Linked DNA regions of Canis lupus familiaris. The protein of the gene in region 1 purifies or fractionates together with the protein of each later gene. This does not show direct contact. Links are inferred from orthologs where the notes say so. Each region holds a gene or a part of one and is shown in the gene's direction. Other genes may lie near its edges.

Region 1 (7,881 bases):
TGGGAGATGTTTGTTAAAGTCTTCTTTATTAATGTGCCTATTTATCCTTTTATATCCTGTAGTTTCACTTTATGAAAGTTAATGCCTTACTATGAGAAGCCCTCAGCTTGCACAGTTCCTACACGTAACATCTTCAGTTAACATGTTTTAATTAGGGGCACCTGGGTGGCTCAGTGGTTGAGCATCTGCCTTTGGCTCAGGTCATGATCCTGGGGTCCTGAGATAGAGTCCTGCATCAGGGTCCCCAGAGGGAGCCTGCTTCTGCTTCTGCCTATGTCTCTGCCTCTCTGTGTGTCTCTCATGAATAAATAAGTCTTTAAAAAAAAAAACCAAAACATGTTTTAATTAAACTAACACTAGTTTAACACAGTTCAAATTTAACTTATAATGGTATATTAACTGTTAGTGCATAAAGTGCAAACTCTGCAGCTAGTTCTTCAGTCTACAAATCACTACATAACAGATACCCCTCATGAACAGTGAACAATTTTATCACTTTTTTCAGTCTTTTGGTGATTGGACACTGCACACCTGTTTTTCAATTCAGAGACAGAGAGCAAAGGGTGCGCTTGGTGCCGTCTTGTCTCCCAGTGATAAACCCATATGACATTTTACAAAAACAGATATTCAAAAGACAGAATTGGCCAACAAAGATAAAAGTACAGCACAGAAACTAATGTGATAATGCTGGAAGTGAAATTTAGGTCATAGTATAAATGAAGTTATAGAAGAAATGGTAAACTGTGGAACTGTTAACGTCACTGCTGTTTGAGAGGCTAAATGTGCAGTTAGAAGAACCTAATGAGGGAAAACATCAATATATATATAAGTGGTTATGATGAATGTCCCAGAAGAAATGACATACCAAAAAACTTCACATTAAAGGAACTCTTGGAAGTATTTTACAACATTGAAAACACAAAGGATAAAATGTCAGAAGCTGATCCAAACTTAGAAATATGACAATTTCCCAAGGCATAGAAGAAATCCCCACTCCTTATCATAAGTTGTACACACACACACACACACACACAAAATAAGCTGTACACACAGAGGTAAGCACTCTTGATTTTTTCCTTGATAAGTTTTTTTTTTTAAGATTTTATTTTTATTCATTTGAGAGAGAGACTGTTCGCACATGAAGTGGGTGGGGGGCGGCAGAGGTAGACAGAGAAGCAGACTCCCCACTGAGCAGTAAGCCTGATGCAGGACTCAATCCCAGGACCCAGAAAAAATGACCTGAGTGGAAGGCAGGTACTTAACTGACTGAGCCACCCAGGCGCCCCTCTTTATAAATTTTTGAAAACAGAAAACACTAAATCTTAAGGAATCAACAGTTTGTCTCAACCAAAATTTTTAAAAGACCATGAAACAACTGTAATCTTTCCCACTGATTATCAAGCTTACTTTGTAGTTTCAGCTTGCATGGCCATATTTGCAGTAACTCACTACCTTACAAAGCAAATTTGTATTTGGTTCCAATTTCTCTACATCCTTACCACCACACTGTCTTTTTGATAAACAGCCATTCTAGTGGGTGTGAAGTGGTATCTTTTTGCGGACTTGATTTGCCTTTCTGTAATAACCAATGATGTTGAACATCTTCTTATGTACTTACTGGCAATTTGTACATCATCTTCTTTGGAGAAATAGCTCTTTTGCTTATTTTATTTACTTTTTTTTAGATTTTATTTATTTATTCATGAGAGACCGAGAGAGAGGCAGAGACAGAGGCAGAGGGAGAAGCAGGCTCCCTGCGGGGAATCCCACGCGGGACTCGATCCCAGAACCCTGGGATTCCGCCCTGGGCAGAAGGCAGGCACTCAACCGCTGAGCCACCCAGGTGTCCTTCTTTTGCTTATTTTAAATTCGGTTCATCTCTTTATTTTTCACCTGAATCTATTTGCTAGCTCATCAGATTTAAAAAAAAAAAAAATAGGTGAGTTAAGCCTCAATCAAAAAGGTGACTACACAGACAACAGCAGCAGGCTGGACTATGTGGAAATTTTAGTGACTGTTTCGGGTGGAAATAGGGAAAAAGGAACCAAAGCAGAGTCTAAAAATAACTGAGCAACTGAAAGAACTCAAAGTGGAACTCAGTCGGTGTGGACCACCTAAAGTGAAAGCGGGGTGGCACAACGTGGTGAGGGTGAAAAAAGGACGTAAGGGTGGGTAATATACCGCCAGTCACAGTTTAAGTCAAAAGATCGTATTCAAGACCAAAAGAGGGCCGTGTCATTACGGCCACTATTGTATCAACTCTTCAACAGGACTAGAAGCAACTTGAGAGGAGAGTAGGCACAGCAGCTTAACCATTTTTGTGACCTCTCAGCGGTAAGATGAGGAGTGTATGTTGGGGTTTCGGTCATCCTTCTGTACATTCTTAAATGTGTTAAAAAAAAAAAAATGTCCGGGGATCCCTGGGTGGCGCAGCGGTTTGGCGCCTGCCTTTGGCTCAGGGCGCGATCCTGGAGACCCGGGATCGAGTCCCACGTCGGGCTCCCGGTGCATGGAGCCTGCTTCTTCCTCTGCCTGTGCCTGTGTCTCTGCCTCTCTCTCTCTGTGACTATCATAAATAAATTAATTTTAAAAAAAAACAAAAAAACATGTCCAAAGAAAAGGCTCTGAAATATCAGGATTGGCAGCTCACTTTCAAAGGGATCAAGCTGCCTTAGTAACGCAACGCGAGGGAAAAGGCTAACCTGATTATGGGAAGAGACAAACCCCTGTGGGTTGGAGAGCTGTGCCCCAGGCTGGTTTGTGTTAGGGCGGGGAGGGGGGGGGGGGGGGCAGCGGTCTCTTGCAGGGCTTCTAAGCTTTGGAGGACAACTTCACAGCTGTCACTCACTCAACAGGCACTTCCGGAGCACACACGATGCGCTGTGCTGAGCGCCAGGCAGAGATGAGCAGCAGCAGGAGTCCCTGTTCTGCCAGGGTTCATAACCTAGTAAGGACAGGGGGGTTATTCACTAGCCTAGCTGTAGGAATAAGGAGGAAAAGAAGCGAGGCATCGTGCCTGGGTCTGTGGGAGAAGGGAAAGCGCCCAAAGGGGACATCCGGGCTGGGCCCTCAAGGATGCTGGAGCTGACCCACAAGGGCCAGGGAACTCTCAGGTGTCACTGCCTTGTCCACGGGGAAGAGAAAGTCTCCTACGAGCCCCCAGCTGACTCCTATAAGCCCTGAGCCAGATGCTCTCACAGGACAAACTCAACCACAAAGCAAAAGGCGAACCTCAGGGCCCTCCTGAGGGACGAGGGACATGCCAGGTCCAGCACCGAGGGGCCCCGACACAGCACAGTTTGGAGACCTGCGGGGCTCCGGAACGTGGCGGGGGGCCCGGACCCGGAAGTCGGGGAGAAGTCTGACACCAGAGCGACCCCTCCAGCCACCTGCCCAGTTCCCTTAAGCTACGCCCCCTGTCCCAAGCTTCTCGGTCACTCACCCGCCGCTCGGCGACAGGAAGTCGGTGTCGTCCTCGTCTCCCCCACCGAACATCGCGGTGCCTTTCTCCCAGCCGCAGGGCGCGAGGGGCGGGGGACGGAGGTGGGAGGTGGAGGGGGAAGTAAGAGTGTTTTCGGGGCTTGTGCTGTCGTGAAATGCCGCGGCGGCGTGCTGCTTTCCGGCAGGACGAACTCTCGCACGGTTGTTCCGCGGGGAGGGGTCTAGGCGCGGGAGAAGGTGGGGAGGGGGGGTGCGGAAGGCAAATGGGAGGGCCTCGCGAGCACGCGCGCCCGTGACGTCAGGCTCCTGCAGCCTGCGGAGGCGGTGAAACCCGCGGGATCTCCGAAATCCCGCGCAGGGATTGGCCGACGCGGCAGGGGGCGGGGCAGGGGCGGGGCGGGGGCGGGAATCCGCGGCCTCGGTGGCGGTCGTGGACACGTAGAGCCCGGCAGAGGTGGAGGGGGCTTCCGAAGAGTCGTGGAGGTGGTGACGGGTTGAGGTTCTAAGAGGGCGGCGCCGGCGGCGGGAGTCGATCTGGAAGGTAAGCACCCCCAGCCCGCTCCCGCCTCCGGCTGGGGCACGGTCCTCTCCCCGCCGGACCAGGACCCTCCATGCGGCTCCGCTCTGCTTTGCGAAAGGAGACAGGGCCTGGGGCTGGCGGTCCGGAGAACTGATCTTTTCGGCTGGCCCCCTGCAGTGACAGAGCTAGGGGTGACCTTGGGGTTGGGTGTCCGGTGCCTCACTTTCCCCGTCTATGAAACGGGCCTGTCGTCCCTTCCGCTTGTCCCCCGTGGCCGACCTCGCTGTTTATTCAGCGGGCTCTTTGTCCAGGGCTCCTATGTGCCGGCTGGCCAAGAAGCTTTTAGACCTCAGAGGTCATCGGACTGAAATCCCAGCCTCCTCCTCATAGCCCCAGAACTTGCAATAGGGGACACGAAGTAATAAGCACTTGGATGACTAGTCCGAGGTCGCACGGAGTAAAGGACAGACTGGCGCTGGATCCCTGGTCTCTTGAATCGGGACCGACTGGGGGAATGAGAACCTCATCGACCCTTAAGCACAGTTCGCCCTTACAGAGTGGTTACCGCTCGACTGTGGCATGGGTCTGGAGAGAATTCCCCTCCTTGTGCAGGTGGGGTACCGAAGAGCTGGGATGTTCCGGGAGTGAGTGATGGAAAGGACGAGACTTCAGCAGTGGAAATCCCCAGTCCCAATCTTGGTCTGGATTTTGCTGTCTTCTTGCCACACACCTAAGTCAACATCAGTTGTTGGGGACTTCTCCGTCTCCACTTTCCACCCTCTCTGTATCCTATAGAAAGTGTTTCTTTGGTAAGCTGATAGGATTCTGGAAACAATCTCAGGGTAAGCCTGGTTTAGCCAAGGTTTACCCTCTATCTGGATGAGCAGGTACTGTATCACTGTCGCATCCGTTTCCGTAGATCTCAACGGGGTTCTTTCACCCAAGGCTTCTCCAGATCAGATTAGTACAACAGGTGGCCCTTACCGGGATGTTTTACTCTGTTCACTTGAAATTAAAGTGAGATGATTGGTAGTGATTCACTTCCTAGAGAACTTCACACCTCTCGGCACTTCCCTTGTCCTGCTTTCCAGTATAGTTTACTTCTTTCTGTGTGCTCCTACTAAACTGTAAGCTCCTCAAGGACGGAGACTGTTTTATTCCTTGATGTCACCTGTGTCACAGAGCGCTGTGCCTTGGTAATAGTGGGTTCTTACCCTTTGTTAGACTGCGTAATGGAATTCATCCTTATGCCCATTCCTTAATTCATGCTCTTAGGAATTTTTTCAAGTGTGATCCCCAGAGCCCAGCAGTGGCTCTTGCCTTCCAGAAAGATAAAAATGCTGTGCTAGCTGGGAACTCTCAGGGTTGCTTCATCTCTTTTGTTAGCTGAAGATTGTTTTACTATCGTTTAAAGCTCTAGGGGACGGGAAAGGAGGATAGAATAGTTAGAATGTGTAACTCCGATTTTTATTGGTAGAGTATTCCTCCATTAAACTGAGGGACAGGGCTGTTATCTGCTTCCTGTGTCCATTTTACAGATTACGATGGTTAAAGCAATGAAGGCTGACAGTGAAAACAGTGATGCAACTGGAGGCTAAGCAATAGAACTGAAACTCTTTGCAGCACCTCTGTTTACGATATGAACTTGGCTACCTCTCAAGAAAGGAAAATAAACTGCCTAAGTGACATCACTCTTTCTAACCCTTTCCCCAGTACTGGTCTTCGTTACTCCAGCACTGAAACATCTGAATAGTGCTTTTAAACACATGCTAAAAGATCACTTGAGTACTTATCTTGAATTCTTGAGTTCGGGATATTTTCATTCAGGGTATTTAAGTAGCCTTTTTAGATAGGTAGGCATGTAAAATCTGGATCAGCGTTTTGGCAATCGAGATACCAGAGATCTGCATGCCCAGGTCACCATTGTGGGAACACAGCCCTTAGTTCCGAGAAAGGGGAAGATGGTGGTGAGGTTTCCTCAGTCTTTCAGGATTTGAATTGCAGGATTACATTGCAATTCAATGTAATCAAGGTACATTGAAGAGCCACTGTTGGGGCCCATGGCTGGCTCAGTTGCTTAAATGTCTGACTCTTGATTTCAGCTCAGGTCATGAGATCGACCCCACATTAGGCTCCATGCTCAGTGGAGGAGATTCTGCTTGAGATTCCCTCTCTCACTCTGCCCCTCCCTCCACCTGTGCTTTCTCTCTAATAAGTAAAGAAATAAGATCTTTTTTAAAAATTGAGGGGAAAATTAAATAAAAAGCCACTGTCATCCTGAATTAGAATATTGGACCAGGAATCGGGAAACCTGAATTCCCATCCCAGTCCTTCTAACTCACCTTGAGCTTGGACCAGTCTCCCTAAACACTTTGTAAAAGGAGTGGAATAGACCCACATATCTATTAAGTACTGCTGGGGATACAGAGGTAAGGAAGGCACAACCCTGATCTCAGGTTGGAATTAAGCATTTTTGTTTGTTTGTTTGTTTGTTTTGCCTAAATACACAGTTTTTAGATGTATTTATAAAATATATGGACTCCCTCCACAGATTAACCAGGAAGTGGCAATTTTAACAGTTCCTTTCAAATTACCAACAAACTTGCTATAGAGATGATAATTTTTATATATAGGTGCACTCATACTAATCTGTACTAGTGAATGCATTGTAAATATTAAAGATTAGGGTACCTTGGTGGCTCAGACATGGAGCATTGGCCTTCGGCTCAGGTCATGATCCTGAGGTCCTGGGATCGAGTTCCGCGTTGGGCTCCCCACAAGGAGCCTGCTTCTCCCTCTGCCTATGTCTCTGCCTCTCTCTTTCTGTCTCTCATGAATAAATACCTTAAAAAAAAAAAACAACTATTAAAGTTTAAAGTTATGGCCAGGTTAGATGATAGGTGTGGTGATAGCAATATGAATTGAATATAGGTTTAGGGGAGTTAGTATTGTGTTCTTTCTGTTCAGTTACTGAAAACAGAAAAATGTTAGAAGACAGTTCAAGAAATGTCTGAAAACCTTCTCTGTGTAAGGCACTGTGCTGGGTGTTGCCTGGAATAGGAAAATGAATAAGTCATTGTTCTTGTCCTCAAAGTGCTTATAGTTGAACAGTGGAGATAATTGAAGTATACAAATAATTATAGAGAGGAACATAGCGAAGTAAATTCCCATAAGTAGAAATTAATTATTGTAGGATTTCAAAGGAAGAAGAGATCATATCTAGTTTGGAGGAGTATGTGGGATTAGATAATGGGCTTTGAAGATGAGTGGGATTCCAAGTGGAAATGAGGAAATAAGGTTCTCCAGATTGAGAGAGTGGCTTTGGCAAAAGTACAAAGGCAGGAGAGAAGGCACAAATTTCTTACAAGACCAGAGTTGCCCTCTTATTTGATGCAATTAGGGCCAACAGTTGGCTAATTAAAAAAAATAAGACCGGAATCACACAGGTATTAGTTACACATAGACCTTTAACATTTGATTTTAACTTAAAGCATAAGCATCCTTTTGCCATTCTTTAAAATAAGCCTTTTATTGGGGTGTGGGCCCCAGGGAGGGGGCCAGACCTTGTCCTTGCCTTCTGCTTGTTTCTGTAAATAGTTTTATTGGAACACAGCCATGCTCATCTGTTGACATATCTATGGCTACTTTGACGTACAAAGTAAAGTAGTTGTATGTGTCTGTGTGATTCATCTTTATCTAGTCTTTCTAAAGCTTTCAACTTGGTTTTCATAGAAACAACTACCAGAGTCCACACAGTATAGTACAGTAAATTCTTAAGCTCTGGAGCCAAGTTGTTTTGCCGTTTATTAGTTATACAGGTCTTGGGCAAGTTGCTCAGTTTTCTCCTTTAGAAAATAAGGACAACGATAGTATCTAGCTTCTAAGGGTTCTTGTGAAGATTATAGGAGTCAATTCATGTA
Region 2 (6,908 bases), on another chromosome or scaffold:
TTTATTTCTTTCACCTAATTCTTCTCTGTCAGCCCTCCCCTTTATATGCCCCACTGATAACACTGGGACCACCCCTTACCTGATAAGGGATGAATGGATCAAAGGAGTGAGGTTGCTGAAGAACATCCTTTTCCCTGCCATCCCAACCTTTTCTCTTCCTGATTGCTTCTAGAGTTGCTGCAGTTCTGACAGGGGCAGTTCTATCTCCCCTGTCCCTTGGGGGAAAGAAGTTTTCCACTCTTCCTGAAGAGGGTATCAGCATTAAACTTCTTTTGCCCCCTTTTTGTCCCTTTTGGGGGCATTTAAGATGGAGAAATCTGTTTTGGTTTCATCGAATCACGATCACCTGTATTTATTGCTGGGAGAAGGCTGAGGGTGGGGGGAGATGATCATGTGTGCCCAGGGTTGGTGGGAAGCTCTGGGTGAGGGGTGGGGGAAGACTGACTGGGGACAAGGGGGAATATTTGTGGCAATTTTTTTTACTTCCTCTTGGCCCCCAGCTGTGACAGGTTTTGATAAAAGGAGAAACAATAAAGAGATAAACCATAAATAACTGTTGGTGTCCGGATTCTAGTTCTGACCTGAACCACAGACCCTTAGAAGCCTGAGGGCCTGACATTTTCATCTAGCTTCAGCATAAACCTCATTAGATCAGCAAAATGAGTGAGTACGTCTTCCTCAACTTGCTAGATGCCAATATTTTCATAGAGGAGTCCAGCAAGGTCATCAGATTTTAGGAGGCTTAAACAGTGGTGACCAGAGCTGATGGGGTCCGTCTTGAATAGAAACAGCTTTATAGTCAGATGTTCTCATGAAAAAGGCTGCTTCTCTTTGGCATCACTTTTTTAAATTCCCCATTGTTTCAGTGACAGGAAGTAGATCACTCCATTTTGTAAAGTGACTTATCAGTCTTGAGAGATTATAAGAAACGATTTTTTTTTTTTTTTTTTTTTTAGGGAAAATGCTCAGGAAGGCTTGTACCTGAGTAGTTAGGGAATGTGCTCATGGAATTCTTAGCTCAAGAAATATTTCCAGTTAGTTTGCTGGGACGTAGTGCACTCCCTTGGCACCCCACTCCCTGCCTCCTATTGTCATCCGTTTAAGAAACGGGGGGGGGGGGGGGGGGGGGGGGGGGCAGGGGCAGCCCGGGTGGCTCAGCGGTTTAGCGCCGCTTTCAGCCCAGGGCCGGATCCTGGAGATCCGGGATCGAGTCCCACGTCGGGCTTCCTGCATGGAGCCTGCTTCTCCCTCTGCCTGTGTCTCTGCCTCTCTCTTTCCCTCTGTGTCTGTCATGAGTAAATAAAATCTTAAAAAAAAGGGGGGGGGGGCAGGAGGCGTACTGGTTTTGGAGACAGGTACCTCGAAGGCACACAGAAAACTCCATAGTGGCGGTTTCATGTTTTTGTGGACCTTGGTTACTTGTCCGTAAAATGGGGACAATACCACCTGTCTCAGGACTAGAGTGAGGAATGAGTGAGGGACGCCCAGAGCACAGGCCGGGCACAGAGAAGTCCCAGATTTCATTCATTCATGAAACAAGCATTTGTAGCCATGGCGTCCCGTGGCTGAGGGATGAATGAATGAGAATGAGGAAATGGGGATCCCCGGGGGGCTCAGCGGTTTAGCACCTGCCGTGATCCTGGAGTTCCGGGATCGAGTTCCGCGTCAGGCTCCCCGCATGAAGCCTGCTTCCCCCTCTGCCTGTCTCTGTCCCTCTCTCTGTGTGTGTCTATGATGAATAAATAAATACTTTTTTTTTTTTGTTTTTTTTTAAATGAAATCTGGGTCTGGAGACCAAGGGAAACGTCTCAAAGTCACTCCCGCCAGGCGACTGACCGCCCGCCACGCGAGCACGCCACGCCGGATGTGACGTCACCGACTCCCGTGGTTCCCAGAACTAGGCGGTGGGACCGGAAATTAGCCCGGGGGGCGGGGTGCAGAGTGACCGGAAGTGGGCGCGGGCGGGCGCCGGCGGCCCCGGCTCCCGGGAGCTGGTGAAGAGGAGCGTGAGGAAGGCGGGCCGCGGGGCGGGGCCGCTGCAGGGGCGGGGTCTGCAGGCTGGCGGATGGGGGGCGGGGACCCCCCGTCGGTTCCCCCCGGACCCCGCCTGCTCCGGCGCCGGCGGCCGCACGGCCATGAAGCTGAAGCTGAAGAACGTGTTTCTCGCCTACTTCCTGGTGTCGATCGCAGGCCTCCTCTACGCGCTGGTGCAGCTCGGTGAGCGGGGCGGGGCGGGGGTGCGGCGGACCCGCCTGAGGGCGCCCGCCGCCTGCAGCCCGCCCTGGGGGTGAAGCCCCGCGCAGGCACCGTGCAGCCCGCTCGGCCCCCGACAGCCCGTGCCGCAGCCGGGCTCTCCTCTCTGGGACGCGCCGCGGCCCCCGCCGCACCTCGGAGGAATTGCGGGCCCCTTTCCAGAGTCCGCGCGGCCCCGCGTGGCCTGTGGCCCTCCGCCCTGGCAACCCCCTTACCTCCCCCACTCGCTCGCTCCGCTCCGGCCGCACGGGCTGTGTGACAGTTTCTCGAAAAGCCCAGGCGCGTTGCTCTCTCAAGCGCTTACCCTGTCCCTTCTGGCTGCAGCGCTTTTCCCCCATTTCTTTCCCGGTCGCCTCTTTCTCACCCTTGAGGTCTCAGCCCAAATGTCACCGCCTCAGAGAGTCCTTCCCCGGCCACTTTAGCTAGAGTCACTGCCTTTTCTGGACTCTCTTTTATACTCTATCCTATACGTCTCCTTCGTGGCCCTTATCACAGCTCGTGACAATTTTACTAATTCGTTTCTTTGCTCAGTGCCTGCCTCCTCCACTAAACCGAAAGCTCCATGAAGGCAGGGACCATGTCTGCTTTCCTCCCTGCTGTATCCGCAGCACCTGAGGCTGTGCCTCCCACGAGGAGCCTCCAATAAATATTTATCCAATAATGGAATCAATGAATTTTATGAGTCTTTGGTCACACAGCCACGGGAACAGATTGAACTCTGCCGCTTACGCAGACGGCTCAGGGCTTGATCTTCAGGTATTTAAAAGACTGCCCTGTTTCAGGAGATTTAGTTGTTCTTTACATCTCTAGAAGGCAGCAACGTGAGCATCAGCAAGTAGAAGGGTTGGAGGCGGATGAGCAGCTCAATATCCAAATGAAAGCTGTAACAGATGGACTTGACTGTGGTTGGAGAGGGCTGCTGATTGAGACCGTGAGCCCCCCCACCCCCGAGGTGTGGAAGAGGCTGTTGGGGAAGCTGTCAGGAGATTTCCCCCTACACTGGCTAGGAGTTGAATGAGAACGTTCTGCCCCTTTGGGATGCTCAACATGCTGTGGTTCTCTGCCCCCATCCCTGCTTCCTGGGACCAGGTCAGCCATGTGACTGCCTCCCTCCCCTGCGCGCAGCAGCAGAGCAGCTTCGGCAGAAGGATCTGAGGATTTCCCAGCTGCAAGCTGATCTCCGGCGCCCACCCCCTGCCCCTGCCCAGCCCCCTGAACCTGAGGCCCTGCCTACTATCTATGTTGTTACCCCCACCTATGCCAGGTATGGGGTCTGGTGTACCCAAGAGGCCTGCCAGGGCCAGGATGTTGGTGTTGATGGAGTTTGGGGAGGCACTGGGCTAGAGGGTGTTCTGTAGGTGAGGGCATGCCAAATGACAGGATAAAGGAACCACATCAGTCCTCAAAGATTTGTGGGGAAATGACTGTTTCTCTAGTAAAACAGGGGTATGCTATGAAATAGAATACACAGTTCCTAACAAATTTTAAGATAGAATAACAAAGTTTCAAAGAAGTGCTGAGCTTGCCCATGAATTCACTCTCTCAGGGATCCTTTGGTGAGAAAGTCTGGGGACCGCAGGCTAATTGAAGTAGAAAAGGGCCTGGCCTTACCGTCATACTAGGGTCTAGAAACAGTTACCCCAGCTATGATTTGTGGTATGTTCACTCTCTACCAGCCACTGTGCTAAGTAAGGGCTTTTTTTGTTTTGTTTTGTTTTTTAATTAAAATGTAACTTTATTTTCGTACAAACCCCTGGGGAACCTGGTTTTAGGTTTATAGCTAAAGAGCCTGCCAACACCTCAGGGGAATCAAATGGCTGACCCATGGAAGCACAGGCAGCTCTAGACCCTGTCCCCTTCCACACACGCAGCCCCAACCCCACGGCAGGCAGAGCAATTGAGGGATAAATCTAGAAAAGACTGGGCCACACCTTCCCAGTTTCCTGTCTAACCTTAGATAAATCCTCTCCTGGAGAGGAATGAGGCAAAGGGCTCATCTAAATTTCTCATCCTGGAAACCCAGGAAGAGCACCTGGTATTTTAGAAAGTCGTTAAAATTTGCTCTTTAAGGGGAAGCCTGGGTGGCTCAGCAGTTGGGCGTGTCTGCCTTTGGCTCAGGGCGTGATCCTGGAGTGCTGGGATCGAGTCCCACATTGGGCTCCCTGCATGGAACCTGCTTCTCCCTCTGCCTGTGTTTCTGCCTCTCTCTTTCTATGTCTCTTATGAATGAATAAATAAAATCTTAAAAAAAAATTTTTTTTTGACCTTTAAGACAAAATCGTTGTAAAGTGCTGTTATTCCCATTTTCACAGCCAAGGAAACAGGCTTGGGGAGATCTGACCCATTTCCCCCAGTGTCTCACCTACTAAGTTACAGAGCTGGCATTCAAACCTAGATCTGTCTGATTCCAAAGCCTGTGCCCTTAACTTGTAGTCTCCCACAGCCAGAGCCCTGGGGTTGAGGCGGGTGCCAGACATGGGCTGCAGGAGCAGGGCAGGAGAGTGCGGTGTGAAGTTGACAGGCAAGAAGAGGAATTTGGGTATTGGTTGGGCAAACGCTGTGGGGGATACTAGAAGGGGCCCGGGAGAAGCTATGTATACTGGCGGGAGTGAGCAAATGGTCCCGACCCCTTGCCCTCCTCCGTGTCTTTTCCCCTGCAGGCTGGTGCAGAAAGCGGAGCTGGTGCGGCTGTCCCAGACACTGAGCCTGGTGCCCCGGCTGCATTGGCTGCTGGTGGAGGATGCTGAGGGCCCCACCCCATTGGTCTCAGGGCTGCTGGCTGCCTCGGGCCTCCTCTTCACACACCTGGCGGTCCTCACCCCCAAGGCCCAGCGGCTCAGAGAGGGTGAGCCAGGCTGGGTTCGGCCCCGTGGTGTAGAACAACGCAACAGGGCCCTCGACTGGCTCCGGAGTGGAGGGGGTGCTGTCGGGGGAGAGAAGGACCCCCCCCCAGCCGGCACCCGGGGAGTCGTGTACTTTGCTGATGATGACAACACCTACAGCCGGGAACTCTTTGAGGAGGTGAGCCCTGGGGTGGGGATGGAGAAGGAGGCAGGTGGAGCCAGCTTCACCTGTTCCCTTGGTTACTGGTGTTTCTCTGGAAAGATGTTGTGGGAGGATGGGGAGCAGTGGGGCAGAATGAGCCCATTGGCCCTTCCTGCTGCTCCCTTGCCCCTGGGCCACCCTGTCTGTTTCTTTTCTCCTGACCTCTCTTAGATGCGCTGGACCCGTGGTGTCTCAGTGTGGCCCGTGGGGCTGGTGGGCGGCCTGCGATTTGAGGGCCCTCAGGTACAGGATGGCCGGGTTGTGGGCTTCCACACGGCATGGGAGCCCAACAGGCCCTTCCCAGTGGATATGGCAGGATTTGCTGTTGCCCTGTCCTTGCTGTTGGCTAAGCCCAATGCCCAATTTGATGCTACTGCTCCCCGGGGCCACCTGGAGAGCAGTCTCCTGAGTCACCTTGTGGATCCCAAGGACCTGGAGCCCCGGGCAGCTAACTGCACTCGGGTAAGGGGCTAGAGGTGGGTAGAAACCTGGCTCTGGGATATGGAAGGGTGATGGGGAATGTGGAGGAAGGTTTTGGGGAGGAGGGGAAGGACAGTTGTTTGAACAAGGAAGGACCCTGCAGAGCTCAGACTCAACCTTGCTTACTCTCCTGGAGGGGGAGCTGGGAGCCAGGGAAAGAAATGGTCTCCTGCACTCTATCACCTGGGCACCCATGTAGCCCAGAGGGGGTAAGGGGAGAAAGCCCTATTTTAGAGGCACTACAGCCCCTGCCCTGCACACTTGAATCTAATGCTATGTCTGTAGAGGCAGCGGTAAGAGAATTCGGGCTATGCTGTGGGCCCCAGTTCTAACTGAAATGCTCCCGCAACAGGTCCTGGTGTGGCATACACGGACAGAGAAGCCCAAGATGAAGCAGGAGGAACAGCTACAGCGGCAGGGCCGAGGCTCAGACCCAGCTGTTGAGGTGTGATGGCGGCCCCCCCACCCCCGCCCCTGACTACCACCTCGTCAGGCACGAAGCTGGGGGACTGGGCCCCTGGCCAGCCTGGGCGGCAGATTTCCAAATCCTGACCCCTCAGAGCCAGGGGGTGGCTCCTCTGCCCCCTCAGCCCCAGAGCGTGGCCCAGCTGCTTCTCCTCTCCCCCAGCCTGCCATGTGGCACTGCCCACAGGCTGGGGACAAGCGGCCCTTGTGTTGAGCCAGGTCAGCTCGGTCTGGGGTGGGGCAGAAGGACAGACACTCAGGAGGGCTGCTAAGCAACTGGGTAACTTATTGGGGCTAGGCATGGGCTGGGGGGCTGGAGGAGCTGGGCTGGACCCTCCCCACCTGAGCATGCGGATCCCACCCCCCCACACCTCCAGAATAAAAGATCATGAGCTGGAGGGGCCTCTGGTTTCCTTTGTAACGCACGTCTGGTTCTTGCATTTTTTTTTTTTTTTTTTTTTTTTTTTTTTAATTTTTATTTATTCATGATAGTCACAGAGAGAGAGAGAGAGGCAGAGACATAGGCAGAGGGAGAAGCAGGCTCCATGCACCGGGAGCCTGACGTGGGACTCGATCCCGGGTCTCCAGAATCGCGCCCTGGGCCAAAGGCAGGCGCTAAACCGCTGCGCCACCCAGGGATCCCTGGTTCTTGCATTTGATCCTCA

What was found.
Region 2: the proteins of SLC31A1 (region 1) and B3GAT3 purify together in Homo sapiens (co-immunoprecipitation; 3 studies listed by BioGRID and IntAct, with this or other methods). This does not show direct contact. The link is inferred for Canis lupus familiaris from reciprocal best matches to the Homo sapiens genes SLC31A1 and B3GAT3.

Annotation. Positions count from the first base shown.
Region 1 is NC_049232.1:67,996,843-68,004,723, forward strand, and holds the start of SLC31A1 (high affinity copper uptake protein 1), read left to right. Parts: upstream 1-3,596; coding exon 3,597-3,678; intron 3,679-3,929; coding exon 3,930-3,982; intron 3,983-7,881. Other genes in the region: FKBP15 (FK506-binding protein 15), read right to left, coding at 3,443-3,495.
Region 2 is NC_049239.1:54,537,718-54,544,625, forward strand, and holds B3GAT3 (galactosylgalactosylxylosylprotein 3-beta-glucuronosyltransferase 3), read left to right. Parts: upstream 1-1,986; 5' UTR 1,987-2,135; coding exon 2,136-2,217; intron 2,218-3,342; coding exon 3,343-3,517; intron 3,518-4,913; coding exon 4,914-5,274; intron 5,275-5,469; coding exon 5,470-5,760; coding exon of another isoform or gene 5,761-5,772; exon of another isoform or gene 5,773-5,774; intron 5,775-6,130; coding exon 6,131-6,229; 3' UTR 6,230-6,641; downstream 6,642-6,908. UniProt on the Homo sapiens protein: Glycosaminoglycans biosynthesis. Involved in forming the linkage tetrasaccharide present in heparan sulfate and chondroitin sulfate.